Macaca fascicularis: one gene and its partner. The protein of the gene in region 1 binds, or shares a complex with, the protein of each later gene. Links are inferred from orthologs where the notes say so. Each region holds a gene or a part of one and is shown on either strand. Other genes may lie near its edges.

Region 1 (7,654 bases):
CTAAATAGTAAAATGTCAAATTGATGGCTATAAACCACAAGAAAATCTTACAAGCCCAGGTGGTGGGGTAGTAAGGTGGTAAGCTCTGTTGTGAGCATATAAAAGTAATGTATTCCGGAGAAATGACTCAAGCTGTAATTATAAGCTATCAGTTACAATGCTGGTGTGAATCTCTGTTTCATTCAGAATGAGAGTAAGATGTCAGGAAAAACTTCAAAGAGGAGGCTACCAGTGAGCAAATTTGTGGGGATGTGTCAGGGGATCTGGGGAAGGCTAGGAAAGAAACTGCGTTTTTTTAAACTGTTGAAAAAATTCTAGAAGTCCTCTATTACAGAGGCAGCATGACACTATTCAGAACTCTCCCTCCAACCCACCTACCCTCAACCGAAGTACAAAAGGTGCTTTATCTTCCACACTACCCAGGACAGAAGTGTCTGGGAAAGCAGTCAGTGTGGCTTAAAGAAGGGGAGTGATGGAAGTTATCTAAGATTCCCACAGATAGTAATCTTCCTCACACCTTACTCCACCCTCTAACTGGGTTTGAACTTTGTATCTAATAACAGTTTTCTAAAAATAGAGTACTAAAAAGAAGCCTATGAACTAAGATACTCAGGCATGTTTTAAGATAGTACTTTATGCCAGAATTTTAGAAAAAGCCAGAATGTTAGTGTTTGAATCCTCTTCTGCCACTTATTAGCAGTGACCTATAGTAAGTTACTTAAAGTCTTACGTTTGCTTCTACATCAAAAAAGTGAGATGAAAGTAGTATCTACTGAGCAGCGTCGTTAGGAAGGACGTGTAAAGCACTCAGACCAGTACCTGACATAAAGGGACTTCTGAAGAATTGTAGCTTATTATTATTATTATTAGCAAAAAGCCCATCTTATTTTAAAAAGTCCTTGAGCACATTCATATAATCTGACCTGGTATCGCAAATTATTTACCTTAATGAGACCATCTCCTTGGGCAAAGCACGGATCCTGCACAAAATCAAGCACCTGAAGTGTCAGCTGATGCCACAACCTGAAAAACATACAGCCCTTAAGACCTCTAACCTAATATCCAGTCACAGACACCTTCAGCCTTGATGATCCTATCAAGTCACAAATATAGGTTGGGTATCTCTAATCCAAAACTCCAAAATTCAAAATGCTCCAAAATCCAAAACTTTCTGAGCACCAACGTAAGGCTCAAAGGAAACGACCATTGGAGCATCTCAGATTTCAGATTTTTGATTCATGGATACTGAATGGGTAAGCACATATCGAAAATATTTCAAAATCCGAAAAAATACTAAATCCAAAAAACTTTTGCCCCAATGCATTTCTTTCTTCTTCTTTCTTTTTTTTTTTTTTTTTTTTTTTTTGAGACAGAGTCTCACTCTGTTGCCCAGGCTGTAGTGCGGTGGCACCATCTTGGCTCACTGCAACCTCTGCCTCCCAGGTTCAAGTGATTCTCCTGCCTCAGCCTCCCGAGTAGCTGAGATTACAGGCATGAGCCACCGTGCCCCGCCGCCCCAATGCATTTCTGGTAAGAGATGCTAAATCCATACTAACCAGTGTCTACTGTGTAGTAGAAAGAATGCTAAAGCAGATGCGATAAACCTGAGTTCTTTTCCTGGCTCTGCTGTTGAATGGCTATGTCACTTTAAGATCACTTAACTTCTCTCTAAGACTCAGTTTTCCCAGGTATGAAATGGAGAACATTATTCTAGATTACCTCAGAGGGTTACTGTGAGGTTTGATTGGAAACGAGAACTTTGGAATCATACATATCTACCTTGAGATTCTGGCTCTTCTACCTATTAGCTAGTATCTCAGGGAAGACAATTAAAACGAGCTTCAGTTTCCTCCTCTGTGAAAAGGATGAATAAAGGATTAAATAGCGCTTCATCCAAAACCTAAAGGCTAATATTTAATAACGCATATGAAATGCTTTGAAAATTACCAAGTGCTATCCAACACAAACCATTATTTGCCAAACATTAATTTGCTCTCAAAAACTGCTAATAGCAGAAGGCTGCTGAATGCTAAACATCATCAAAACATGTATGGAACATCTATGTGAAAGGTATTATATTAAATGCTAGGGTTAACAGGGAGGTTACTACAGGAGATGTATTTTCTATGGAATAGCTCCAGCCCAATGCCAGCAATTTATCCTATCATTTTAAAAGGAGATTAGTGCTTAGCAACAATTTAATGGCTCTGCAATTCATCCTGTTTCTAAACAAACTTAAACTTTAAGATCTTTCTAGGGGCACACAGCCCAGCGAGAAATACAATGGAAGGTAAAGACAATGGGACGGGGTGCAACCAGTTGCAGAATGAATAGGGAAGAGAGCAAAGCTGCACTAGCCTCTGGTTTATCAACTCCAGACCATGAGAAAGATAACTGTGGATACAGTTACACCATGCCAAGGCTAAGCGCGAATCACCAAGATCTGTTTCTCAAAGTGGGTGGCAATCTGGTTCTGAAAGTGTGTTTGCTTGTTTCGCTGGAATACAGAGCTAAAAGCAAAGGCTTCCCCTGAACCGTCTTAGTAAGACCCGAGGTAGACGAGTTCAGAAGCCTCAGTCACAGTCCCTCGTTAGGGAAGCACTGAATCTCAGACCCAAACATCCCTGGCTACAGCTCTTGGCCCTCGTGGTCTGTCATCCTTCTTATTCCTCGACCCTGCCACTCGGGGTTCCTCAGCAAACCCTGCCGGCACAGCCAGTCGCTACACGTCCCCGTTTCCCCGCAACTTGGGTCTGGGCGCCCTCAGCCCATCAAGGGCCCGCCTCTCCGCCCGCCCGCCCCCTCCGTCTCCCTCTATCGCCGGGGCCCAGGGCCCGTCTGTCTGCTCGGAGCTTACTTCTTCGTGTAGAGTTCCTCCAGACGGTGCCACACAGCGGGCTGTCCGGGCCCGGAGCTCTGGCTCTGCTGTAGGAAGCCCGGTACGTCCTTCATGACAGCAGGAAGACCCCCGGCACAGAAGAACAACCGGGATGTCAGCCCCGCGGGGATGTCTGCCGGAAATGCTCACTCACTTCCGGCGCCGCGCGGCGCGGGGCAGGCTGGGAGCGCCGTAGCCGGCCGGGGGGCGGGGCCCGCTGGTTGCCCGGTAACCGCGCATGTCTGCGCTCGGAACAAAACTCTCCGGCGTTTGCAGCCCGCTTCCCGCGCACCTGGTTGTGCCACTGAGGCTTAAAAAGTATGGGTGCCTGTGGTCGAACCGGCCATGGACTAGCTTTGTGGTGTCAGCCTTTGTGACCCGGAATTGCTGCTCTCAAATGACCTTCCCAGTAGGGTCTTGCGAGGACTAGGTGTAAATATAATGCCTGACCATAGTAAAAGCGCTCAGAAAGTATTAACTGTCACCGCCATCCGGGTTGAAAAAGGTGTGAGCGCAGGGTACAGAAATGCTGGCTCCAGGTTTGACCTCCTGGGCGAGAGGTCAGACACCAGACTAGGGAACTTCCTCTACTCGGCCTCAGCGTCTACCAGGTCGCGCCGGAGGCGTGGACACGGAGGCGGGGCCGGGAGGCGGAGGCGGGGCCGGGAGGCGGGGCCGGGAGGCGGGGCCGGGAGGCGGGGCCGGGAGGCGGAGGCGGGGCCGGGAGGCGGAGGCGGGGCCGGGAGGCGGAGGCGGGGCCGGGAGGCGGAGGCGGGGCCGGGAGGCGGAGGCGGGGCCGGGAGGCGGAGGCGGGGCCGGGAGGCGGAGGCGGGGCCGGGAGGCGGAGGCGGGGCGAGTCCGGAGGACTCCTCAGGCTGCGGGGAACACGGCGTTCTGGGGTTGGCGCGCCGTGGCAGCCGTCCGGGTGTGGGGCCGGGTAGCTGAACGGGCCGAGGCCGGGGGAGACGTGGGGCCGTTCCAGGCCTGGAGCTGTCGGCTGGTGCTTGGCGGCAGGGACGATGTCAGTGCGGGACCGAGAGGCAGCCGCGGGGTCCGCGGTGAGCCCTTGGACTCGGCGCGCCCCTTGCAGAGGCCTCCCAGACCCGCGGTGCCCAGGGCATTCCGGAGGCAGCCGAGGGCAGCAGCTCCCGGTTTCTTCTTTTCGAGGTATTTTGGGCAAGGACAAGCACTTCTTGCGTGTTCGTTGTCTACACCTCGCCCCCCTTTCTCACCTTGCGGTGTTTCCTTTGAGGCATGTCTGGGAGTTACTTCCGTTCCAACACCCGCCCGTCTTTACGCTGATCTGTGGACGTCCTTTACGGGGTTTTGTCGTTTAGTTCACCATTCCCCCATTGAAATATCTTCTAACCTTTAGTTACTTACATCATGCTGTGGTGAATAACCTTGTTTGCACCTCACTTTTTGCATAAATTCCTAGTACTGGGACTGCTAGGTCCAAAAGTATATGCATTTAACGCTTTAATTATCCCTCATAAATGTTGTGCGGTTAATGCTCCCACCCCATGTGATCATACCCGTCTCCATAGTAATTGCATCTAAGAGCTGAGCCTACATAGGAAAAAATCTTAAGGTCCATGGTTGTTAGGTATCAAATGCCCTATGATGGATGAATATTTAAGTAAATAATGGTACATTGACTTGATGCTGTCTGACACACTGCTGAAAATATTGGTGAAAAGTGAGGCTTGAAGTGGTAGCTCACCCTTGTAATACCAGCACTTTCGGAGGCTGAGACAGGGCGATAGCTTGAGGCCAGGAGTTCAAGACCAGCCTGGGCAACATAATGAGACCTCCATCTCTACAAAAAATTTAAAAATTAGCCGGGCATGGTGGCGCAAGCCTGTTGTCCCAGTTACTTCTGAGACTAAGGCAAGAGGATCCCTTGAGTCCAAGAGTTCAAGGCTGCAGTGAGCTATGATTGAGTCACTGCACTCCAGCCTGGGTGACAGAGCAAGACTCTTATCTACCTGGGAAAAAAAAGAAAAAAAAAGTTTAATAGATCCTGAAATGTCGGCTGGGCATGGTGGCTCATGCCTGTAATCCCAGCACTTTGGGAGGATGAGGCAAGTGGATAACGAGGTCAGGAGTTCGAGACTAGCCTGGCCAACATGGTGAAACCCCGTTTCTACTAAAATTACAAAAATTAGCTGGGGGTGGTGGTGGGCGCCTGTAATCCCAGCTACTCAGGAGGCGGAGGCAGGAGAATCACCTGAACCCGGAAGGTGGAGGTTGCAGTGAGCTGAGATTGCACCATTGCACTCCAGCCCAGGCGAAAGAGCAAAACTCCATCTCAAACAAAAGATCCTGAAGAGTCAGTCATTCATCCAAGAAGCCCTGACTGAGCTCTTGTTCTGTGCCAGACTCTGTTCTAGGTGCTATGGATGGAGCGGGGACCAGGACCGACAAACACATGGAGCGCATTCTAATATCAGTGATACTCTGCAAGACTGTTAAACAAATCCTTGCTACCACTGGCCCTAAAGCAGGAGGCACCGGGCTCCCTATGAGGAGTCCATTGCATGGGCTTTCTGCAGTTTGGCTTTGGATTTTGGAGCTCTCTGAATTTGTTCTTTGTGTCCTTTGCACAGTGTCCCTCCCAGGTTGCCCCCATGCCTGCCCCTCAGGGTCCCCCACTCCCAGTGAATTTCACACCATGCAGCATATACTTTAAGCCATACATCTGATGTTCCAGACATTTGGTAAAATGCCGTTTATATGTTATTCAGTGACTCACAAACATTTTATTTACGTAGATGAGGAATGTACTCAGGCACCCTTCGGGATACCTTGGCCTCAGCAGGCACTCAACAGCCATAATAACTTTCATTCCTTTATGCTTCTCTTAACAGTTCATGTTTAGTAGCAGCACAGTAGCTATTTGAGGAATGACTTTAAGTTAATAAATGTCTGAAATGGGGCGTTTAATAGGTGGTGAGATGGTTTTAGAGCCAGGGTTTTCCCTCTTTGCTTCTCGACTACTTGACGAGTTTTCATTAGAAAACCCCTTTGGGGCCGGGCGCGGTGGCTCACGCCTGTAATCCCAGCACTTTGGGAGGCCGAGACGGGCGGATAATGAGGTCAGGAGATCGAGACCATCCTGGCTAACACGGTGAAACCCCGTCTCTACTAAAAATACAAGAAAATTAGCCGGGCGAGGTGGCGGGCGCCTGTAGTCCCAGCTACTCGGGAGGCTGAGGCAGGAGAATGGCGTGAACCCGGGGGAGCGGAGCTTGCAGTGAGCCGAGATCGCGCCACTGCACTCCAGCCTGGGGCACAGAGCAAGACTCCGTGTCAAAAAAAAAAAAAAAAAAAAAAAAAGAAAACCCCTTTGGAGGTTTGCACTCAGAGAGTTGAGTGCCTACTGAGTGTACTGAATTATGAAATGAGCACAGTTCCCATTAACCTGAAATTTTTGCTCCCAAATAAGTCTTGATTCTGATTTATGACTGCTTTCCGTTGTAGCCCACTAGTCATCTGAGAAAGGTGATTATTTTGAGAGGCCTGGGAGGACATACATGGTCATTCTGGATGGTGGGGGTGGTGCAGAGGGCAGAACCATGCTTTCTTGCTATCCTGAGACTGGTCGCTATCTGTTTCCTTTGCTGCTGTGTTTTTTTCTGTCAGTATTAAAGGTGGAAGAAGGCCTATATCTTTTTCTGTGGGTGCTTCAAGTGTTGTTGGAAGTGGAGGCGACAGTGACAAGGGGAAGCTTTCCCTGCAGGATGTAGCTGAGCTGATTCGGGCCAGAGCCTGCCAGAGGGTGGTGGCCATGGTGGGAGCCGGCATCAGCACACCCAGTGGCATTCCAGACTTCAGGTACTGCCCGCAGTCCCACCTGCCTTCTGCACTCCCCTCCCCTGCCTCCTGCCCTCCCCACTGCCCGGTTTCTTGCAAAGGCCTCAGAGCCTCTGTCTTCTCTCCCTGCAGATCTCCAGGGAGTGGCCTGTACAGCAACCTCCAGCAGTACGATCTCCCGTACCCCGAGGCCATTTTCGAACTCCCATTCTTCTTTCACAACCCCAAGCCCTTTTTCACTTTGGCCAAGGAGCTGTACCCTGGAAACTATAAGCCCAACATCACTCACTACTTCCTCCGGCTGCTTCATGACAAGGGGCTGCTTCTGCGGCTCTACACGCAGAACATCGATGGGCTTGAGAGAGGTGAGCCCTCTGTGAGTCGCACACATTCTTTTTCTCACAGGGAAGGCTCAGGTGCCTGTTTCTGGGGACGGCCGAAGCCTGGTGTTTGTGCTTCTTCCTTGGGACTGTTTTTGAGCCAACTAGTTAGGGCTTTGTTCCCAAGGAAAATGTCTCTGGGTGTTTAAAGGCCACTGCTTGTTCTCCTACATACCTGCAGAGCTGTGTATTTTGGGCAGAAGTTGACATTGTTTTGCCAATCTGGTGTGATGATCTCTCTTTTTTCTTCTCTCTTTTAAAAATTGTATTATGGAATTTTTTTGAGCACACGCAAAGAGAAAAATGTAACGAACCGTCCTGTCCTCATCACCAGCACATAGCCAGTCCTTCCTGCGTCCTCACCACTTTCTTCCAAATCCCCAGATTATTTTGAAGCAAACCTCTCATATCATGAATTTAATCTAGAAATAATCTATAAACACATGAATGGATATCTCTAGAGGATACTTTAAAAACAACTCCGGCCAGGTGTGGTGGCTCACATCTGTAATCGCAGCATTTTGGGAGGCCGAGGCAGGTGGATCACCTGAGGTCGGGAGTTCGAGACCAGCCTGGCCAA
Region 2 (7,944 bases), on another chromosome or scaffold:
GAGCTCTCCTGAAGTTGAGGCCACGGGCTTCTTGGGGAGAATATGTGACCAGCGCTGCCCTTATAGCCTGCTGCCCTCTCAACACCTCTGAGGGCCCTCCGGGATGCAGGGCCAGGAGCGGGTGCAGTGGGGTGGAGTTCAACCTTGTGCTTGTTCTGCGAGAGTTGATGACTGGCTGCCAGGAGGGAAGCAATGGGGACGACCTTGGCCTGGGCTGTGACACTCAGAAGGAAGGTCTCAAGGCCACCTCTAGGTAACTCGGGCAGCAAGAAGTGCAGTTCTGCACCACCTGGTTGGTTCTGACATGTTTGGTTCTGAAATGATCACTTCTTCTTATCCAACCAGAAAGAATGAGGTAGTATTTATTTTAAAACAGAGTTAGTTGTATGTACTTTTTTTCATTGCAGTTGTAGAAGACCTTAGAAATGAAGGTAGTGGGAAGAAGGAGCCATCGCCGTGCACTCGCCACGGGGTGGCTGTCGGTGCTGGGCCCAGTCACAAGCAGCGTAGCTGGTGTCCCTTCTCTCACAGAGCTCCCTCCTGGTAGGAGGACTGGGAAGATAAACACAGAGCTAATAAGTAAGAGCCATGGAGAAAAATCAAGTCAGGGGTTAGGACTAGGGAATGAGGGCAGAGATACAACTTTATGTAGGTGACAGGGAAGGAAGGGCTCTTGGATGGAATGGATGTTTGAAGACACCTGAAGGAGGTGAGGGGGAGTCTCTGTGGACATCTGGGTGGAGCATTCCAGGCAGAAGGGACAGCGTGTGGCGGTCATGAGGTGGAAGCCTGCCTGGTGATGGGAAGGACAGGAGGAGGCCAATGTGCTGGAGCCCCAATGAGTGAGGGAGAGCAGAGGAAGAGGGGACGCTGGCTCAGGGAGGGCAGCGCTTCTCTAACTTGAATGCACATGCAGCTCCCCTGGGGGCTTAAGATGCAGATTCTGAAGCAGCAGGTCTGAGATGGAGCCTGGCATTCTGCATTTCTGCAGTGTCCAAGTGATGCTGCTGGCCCATGGACCACACATTGAGTAGTAAGGCTATAGCCTGTGGGCCAGGGAATGATGTGGCCTTTGTTTTAAGGAGACTGGGGAGCCCTTGGATTGCTCTAAGCTCCAGAGCAAGTTCCTCTGACTTTTGTTGAAAAGGAATTGCACTGCTGCTGGTTAGGCTGTCAGGGACAAGGGTGAAAGCAATTTGAAGCCTACTGAATAATCCTAAGAAGAGATGGGTGTGGTTGGGATGGTGGCAGGAGAGGATGGTGATGGGGGAAGAGGTTAGTGCTGCAGGTGTTCTGAAGGTGAGCCACAGGATTTGCTGACAGGCTGCACGTGGAGTGTGAGGGGGAGGAATCTAGGATGAAAAGGGTATGAGCCCAAACAGCAGGAAAATGCCATTTCCATTCACTGACACAGAAGATCCATGTTGGGGGGAAGAATCCCAGGACTTGGTATGTTTCAGATGTGAATGAGACATTTGAATACAGGACTGAGATGTGGAGGAAAGGTCCAGGCGGGAGGTGTCAATATGAAAGTCAGAGATTAGAGAGCTGGTTGCTGTTTCCTAGGGGGCAGGGGAGAAAGGGGGATTTGAGGGCTGAGCGCCTGGGCACTTCAACACTTGGAGGGCAGAGAGAGGAAAGGCACCCAGTACAGGGCACTGAGAGGCAGAAGTCAGTGAGTGAAAGAACCATGCATTTTTCAGCTTCAATTGTTGTATCAGTTACCTACTACTGAGTTACAAACCACCCCAAAGTTTAGTGGCTTAAAACAACAATGTATTCCTTCTACAATTCTGTAAGTGGACTGGGAGGTTCCTTTGCATCCCGGGCGTTATCTGGGGTGACTCATGAGGCTGCCTTGGCTGGGGCGGGAGCCTCCACACTGGCCTCGTTCCTGTCTGGGATTTGGTCCTGGCTGTGCATGGGGCAGCTTTATTCTCTCCCTTGGCCCCTTCCTCTGGAAGGCCAGCCCTGCTTCCTCACAGCTCGCAGCTGGGTTCCATGGGAGGACAAGCTGGGGCTGCAGGGTCTCTCAGGGCCTCCAGGTGGAACTGTCAGAGCATCCCTCCCACCAGGTTGTACTGGCCAAAGCAATACAGCCAGCCAGGGTCCTCCTCTGGACAGAGCAGCGCGCCATCACATGCAGGTATGGGAAGGAAGAGTTGGTAGCCATCTATGTGACCACCTGCTACAGTTAAGAGCTTTCTCAATTTACAATTTTACTACTCACTGACCTCTGCCTCTCAGTGCCCTATACTGGGTGTCTTTAATATTCTATTCAAATGGGAACTTAGGCCAAAGAGCTCCCCACTGGGGGCACTGGGTATTAGTCTTGCTCTTCCCTTAGCCAGTCGAATGCTCTTTAGTAAGCCCTTTTATTTGTTTGGGTTCAGTTTCCTCATTTGTTCCACCTGGAGTTTGACAGTCGGTGGGGGGTGGACAGCACTAGATAAGTTTTAAATTAAGTAGACTAGCCGGGTGTCGTGGCACACGCTTGTAGTTCCATATACTCAGGAGGCTGAGTCAGGAGGATCGCTTGAGCTCAGGAGTTCCAGGCTGTAGTGAGCTATGATGGGAACCACTGCACTCCAGCCTGGGCTACAGACCCTATCTCTAAAAAAGTATCATAAATAAATAAACAAAGGAGAAAATGCAGGTCAAGTGCGAGCACTGTGCAGGGCATGTGTTATGCTAGTAGATGTCACTGATTCTCCAGCCCTTAGGTACATTCCTGTCTTCTCTGGCAGACAGCAGCATTCCCCAGCAGGGGCTGGTGGCTGGCCCACGCAGAGGCTCCTCTAATGGCAGGCTCCTCCCCTCTGCAAGCCCTACAGCTCAAGGGAAAGAAACTTTAACATCAGAAAGAACTCAAGAAACCAGTTTTCCAAAACCTCTCTTCCCCTATGTTTACCCCTTTGTTATGAATTTACTTCTTGGGTGTCGAAATATTTAAGAACTCGGTGGAGACCAGTTTTATACGTTTCCTTCTGTCCTTCCTGGCTCCACAGCTGCAAAAACATCACCCCCACTACTGAGCTTACTATGGGGCCACGCAAGGGTAGATGCTTGACAGACATTGTCTGATGTATTCCTTACTGCAGCTCCCCACCCCCGCCGTCCCCGTCCCCCAGGGAGGCATTACTTCCGTTTTCCCCAAAAGGAAAACAAGGCACCGACAAGTTACGGAACTTGCTCAAGGTCACAGAATTTGAACTCAGGCCACAGATGCTGGAGCAACTGGATAAAGTCCTCATCGCCCCATATCACCCACCACCGACCCCCAGCAGAACGTGACCCCCGCCAGGACGGAGGCCGGCAGCTGGGGGGCTGGAGCATGGGACCCCAGACCACGGACTCAGGCCTGCGCAGCCTCCCGGCGTCTGGGCTCCCCGCCAACCTCCTTCGCATTCCGCTGAGAAGCCAGGGGAGGGGTTCACTCTCCGGGGCGCACAAAGGCATGAAAACCTTACTTCAGCCTCTGAGATGCGGAACTGACCGACCTATCGTCTTGGGACCCAACAGTGCGCTTGGGTGCACCAGCCCTCTTAACGTTGGTGCCGGCTCCCTCCCGCCTCCTTCCCATCCCAGAGGGCCCCCTAGTCCTGGGCCGCACGTGCCTCTGGCAGCTCGAAGAAGCTGTCGGGGCTTGCAGGAGAGCGCGCAAACTGAAACCAAAACAGGCCGACGCGAGGAACGTCCGGGGGGGACTGCAGACCCGCGGGAGCACAGCGCCTGGGCCAGGGCCTGGGAGCCTGGGCTCCGCCCCGCGCTCCTCTGCACCCCTTCTCCACGCTGCTCCACTCTTCCTAAGCGTCCCCCCCTCTCCCGGGCAGCAGAAGAAGGGGTGGGACCCGGGCGGGCTCTGGGAAGGGGCCCTGGAGGAATGGATGGTGGCCGAAGGGCGGAGCAGGGGCGGGGCCCGCGGAGACTCCAAGGGGCGCCCCGGGCGTGAGGCACCCACTCTGGAAGCACAGAGAACTCAGGTAGTCCGGCTAGATGGCGGCGCGCAGCCTGGGCCGCGGCGTCGGGAGGCTGCTGGGCAGCCTGCGAGGGCTCTCGGGGCAGCCCGCGCGGCCGCTGTGTCGGGTGAGCGCGCCGCGCAGGGCGGCCTCGGGACCCTCGGGCAGCGCCCCCGCAGTTGCCGCAGCCTCACAGCCCGGCTCGTACCCCGCGCTGAGTGCACAGGCAGCCCGGGAGCCGGCCGCCTTCTGGGGGCCTCTGGCGCGGGACACTCTACTGTGGGACACCCCCTACCACACCGTCTGGGACTGCGACTTCAGCACTGGCAAGATCGGCTGGTTCCTGGGAGGCCAGTTAAACGTCTCTGGTGAGTGGGCTTCGGGAGACCCAGGTCGCCCCCAACTCTTGCGTCCAGAGGGAACTCGGAGCCTCTCGCCTGCGGCAGCCGTCCCCCGGCTGCGCGGATCGCACCCCTGCAGGGGCCCCTCCTCCGGTATTCCGTCCGCCCCGCCAGCTCTAAGCAGTGGCTCCACGTCACCCCGTCCCTCATCCCATCCGGCCCCAGATCCACGTGCCCAGCTCGGGCCGGTGCCCGCGGGGACCCGGTGGCCGCTTGGGACGCCCCGCTGCTGGTCTTGCTCGGCGCGGCTCCTCGCTCTGCTGACTCCGGAGTTGCGTTACCGAGTGCATAGCGCCGCGGAGCCAGAGCCGGCGGGGAGCCGCGGGCTACACCCGAGCGCCCTGGAGTCGGGACTTTCCCGTTGCTATACCGGGGTGGACGGAAAAACAAAGCGGTGGCGGTTGTCACTGGGGGCTGCGGTGCCCGGGGATCAGCCTGAGGACAAGCCCTGCCCACATAAACAAACAGAGCTGTGGCGGGCGACCTGGGGAGGAGGAAACCCGGCGTGGCAGCTGGAACCAGTTATTTCCTCGCTGCGGGCCTGGGGCCTGTGGGCGGGAAGGAAGTAACAGCGGCCTCCGGGTTCTCGTTCTCGGCCTCAGAGAACTGCACCCCAGCGACCCAAGGCCTGCTTTGGACCCGCGGGGTCTGAGGTTCCCGGTGGTCAGTGGTCTGAAACTTACTGAGCAGAGGCCTCTGCTGCTCTGCTAAGATTTGGGGCTGGGGGTCGTACACTGCACCCTCGCCCCCACCTAAGGCGCTGACTGGGCAGCGAGGGGGAAGCCCTGAACTGCAGGCAGGGCTGGCCACGCAGGGTGGGTGCCAAGTGCAGGGTGGGCCCTGGATGCAGGGTGGGCCTGGGTGTGGGGCCTGCAGGGAGGGCCTGGCAGACACGGTGTTGATCAGAGGGATGCAGGCCAGAAGAGTGGCCATAACCAGCTTGCTGGATTTGGGAGTGTTTGAGAAAGGACTTGAGGGTCTTTATGGCAGGGTCACCAGGACCCCATTTTCTCCAGCTCCTCCCTCAGTTATCCCTGTTGTTCTGCCCCGCTAGCCCTCAGTGTCCACATTGTGAGGAGGGGGGCAGTCATGCTCAGAGGTTAGGCTGAGTGCTGCAAGGTATGCAGCAGACCCAGCTCTTACTGGTGACCCACAGGCAGTAGCGATTTTAGTTTAACTTCAGATATAGCCATACAGTTGTAGGTAGTGTCTTGTAGTTAGTTTTCAAAGAAATTGAAAGGAACTTTGGACCTCCCCCCGATATTGTATATTACTTTGCTGGTTTAATTAAAATGAGTCACTTACTAGATAAGTGTTTTCTTTAACCTTGAGTCAGCAGCAAGTGCCCTCTAACTACTGGGAAAAAAACCAAACCCTTTGGTTTGCAGAGTTGGTGCGATGTGCCCTTGAAGGGGACTAGAGCAGCTTGCCCAAGGACAGAAATGGAAAGTGACCTGCTCTGGACTTGTGAGGCCAAGGTCATGGGGAACATTCACAGTTGGCCTGTGCACAGTTGCAGCCCCACTCAGATAAGACAGCGGGGCGGACCTCCTGGGGCCAACAGCAAGGACCTTCTGAACCTCGCTGGGTCAGGATCAGGGTGTGGTCAGCAAGCATTCTTCTGTCTCCTTTTCCTTCACTTATTTCTCCTGATAATATGGCCTTTACGGCTACCTTAGCCAGAAATTGAGCTTCAGAAAACTAACTTGAAAAACAGCTTTTCAGCAACTTTCTCCCCGGGATGTGCGTGCCCACCTGTTCATGGGTCAGCAATATCTCTTTCCTTTGTCGGTGTCTGCAAACCATAGTGGGGACAGTATGAAAAAGGGCCAGGCCAGGCCATGACTCCTCTGGGAGCCCCTAGAAAGTCATGGGATAGGTGAGAACACTTTGGCCTGATCTGTCAGCTGTGTGTGATAAAGTCAGATGGCTTGTTCCAAAGGAATATCACTCTTGAAGAAAACTTCACCTCACTCCTTCAAGAATACCAGTGGTTCTCAACGCATGGTCCTCAGACCAGCAGCATCAGCATTACCTGAGAACTTTTGAGAAACAGAAATTCTGGAGCCCATCCTGGATATCTGGAATCAGAAACCCTGGGTGGGACCTGACACCTGTGTTTATAACGAGCCCTTCAGGTGCTCTAGAGGACACTCGGGCTTGAGAACCACTGGTCTGTACGCCTCAAAACGGGGCAGATGAAGGCACTTCTGAAACAGAATTGGGATTAGTGCCCGGCCATGGCCCTGTTAAACAAAGAGCAAACAAACAATGGGCTGTGGATGGTGCAACACCGTTTTGTGGCTCCAGGTGTCTTTAGAATCAGGACTCGGGTTGATTTCTTGCTTTCCCTGTACTGCACTTTGCATGTTTCCTCATCTGTAAAACAAGGGCAGTATGTAACTGAATTATGTCCTAGTTACTATCGATGCACATCAAACCACCCCTAAGCTTAGTGGTACAAGATAACAACAATTTTATATTCCTCGCAGTCTGTGGGTCAGAACTTTGGACAGGGCCAGATGGGGATGACTTGTGTCAAAGGGCAAAATTCCGACAAATTTAGTTTAAAGATCTTAATTCACTTTTTTCGTGATTATAGAATTGGGAAACACCTAATTCCATAAAACAGAATGAATGTTTGATGAGTTGAGCAGAGGAGGATGGTTTTATAGACAGAAGGGTCTGAAGTATGCGGACACGGAGAACAAAAAGTGGACTGGCTATTTCAAAGCTACTTTTGCTGTAAAGGTGAAAGTGGAAGGAGCTCCCTTACTATGCCAGCTTGTTTGGAGATCGAGCTATCTCTCACTCTCCTTGTTTCTTAGAAGGCTAGATAAACCACTTAGTTTCCATTTGGTGACACGGCACTTTAGCAAGAGTGACTCCATTTTTGTGTGATCTATTGGGCCTGATGCGGCTCAGTCCAGACCAGTGGCCTCCTATACATTTTATTTAACACTTGCTTCTGCTCCTCAATGTCTGAGGTTGTAGTCATCTGCCTGTTTCTCACTCCCAAGTCTGGGGCCTGGTTTGGGACAACTTGCAGGCTGACTTCAGCCAGACCTGTGACCCAAAGCACCTCCTGGGGCTTGTCACAGCGTGGTGGCTGGGCCCAGGCAATGTCCGGCAACCAGAGGTCCAAGAGACCAGCACAGACACTATTAGGCATCTTCTGACCTGGGGAAGGGGACCTGACTGTTTGCACCTGTTTTGTTATCCATCGGAGTATCTATCAGCACACATACCCCAGGGCTGTTAGAATGAAATAAGAAAACGCTTGTAAGGCACTCAGCACTTTCTTAACACATTATACATCCCCAATCACTGGCCATTTGTTATTTATTAATGAAGCATGTGGGGAGGCTGTGACCTTGTGCTTGGCCTTCAGCAGTGCTGCTGAGAGAGCTGAGCTTCATTTGAACTGGACCACTTGAGCTTGCATCTGATTAGCCTGGGATAGGTGGGGAGTAGGCTTCGGAGAGCATGCAGGTGGCTGAGGTGGCTTTCAAAACACCACAGTATCCTGCTCATCCCGCAACTCCAATAGCCAGACGAGGTTATGGTGTCTGAGGCCCACTGGG

The links.
Region 2: the proteins of SIRT3 (region 1) and ACSS1 are in contact, whole or in part, in a crystal structure (PDB 3GLT), measured with the Homo sapiens proteins. The link is inferred for Macaca fascicularis from reciprocal best matches to the Homo sapiens genes SIRT3 and ACSS1. Residues at the interface, in NP_036371.1 of Homo sapiens: Gly145, Ala146, Gly147, Thr150, Pro151, Asp156, Phe157, Arg158, Ser159, Glu177, Phe180, Gln228, Asn229, Ile230, His248, Ile291, Val292, Phe293, Phe294, Gly295, Glu296, Pro297, Leu298, Gly319, Thr320, Ser321, Leu322, Glu323, Val324, Glu325; in NP_115890.2 of Homo sapiens: Ser640, Gly641, Lys642, Val643, Met644, Arg645.

The regions. Positions count from the first base shown.
Region 1 is NC_088388.1:116,281-123,934, reverse strand, and holds the start of SIRT3 (NAD-dependent protein deacetylase sirtuin-3, mitochondrial), read left to right. Parts: upstream 1-3,080; 5' UTR 3,081-3,116; coding exon of another isoform or gene 3,117-3,196; 5' UTR 3,197-3,319; coding exon 3,320-3,438; intron 3,439-3,750; exon of another isoform or gene 3,751-4,045; intron 4,046-6,523; coding exon 6,524-6,715; intron 6,716-6,826; coding exon 6,827-7,059; intron 7,060-7,654. Other genes in the region: PSMD13 (26S proteasome non-ATPase regulatory subunit 13), read right to left, coding at 945-1,023, 2,858-2,952.
Region 2 is NC_088384.1:62,358,588-62,366,531, forward strand, and holds the start of ACSS1 (acetyl-coenzyme A synthetase 2-like, mitochondrial), read left to right. Parts: upstream 1-3,959; 5' UTR 3,960-3,996; coding exon 3,997-4,327; intron 4,328-7,944. UniProt on the Homo sapiens protein: Catalyzes the synthesis of acetyl-CoA from short-chain fatty acids. Acetate is the preferred substrate. Can also utilize propionate with a much lower affinity. Provides acetyl-CoA that is utilized mainly for oxidation under ketogenic conditions.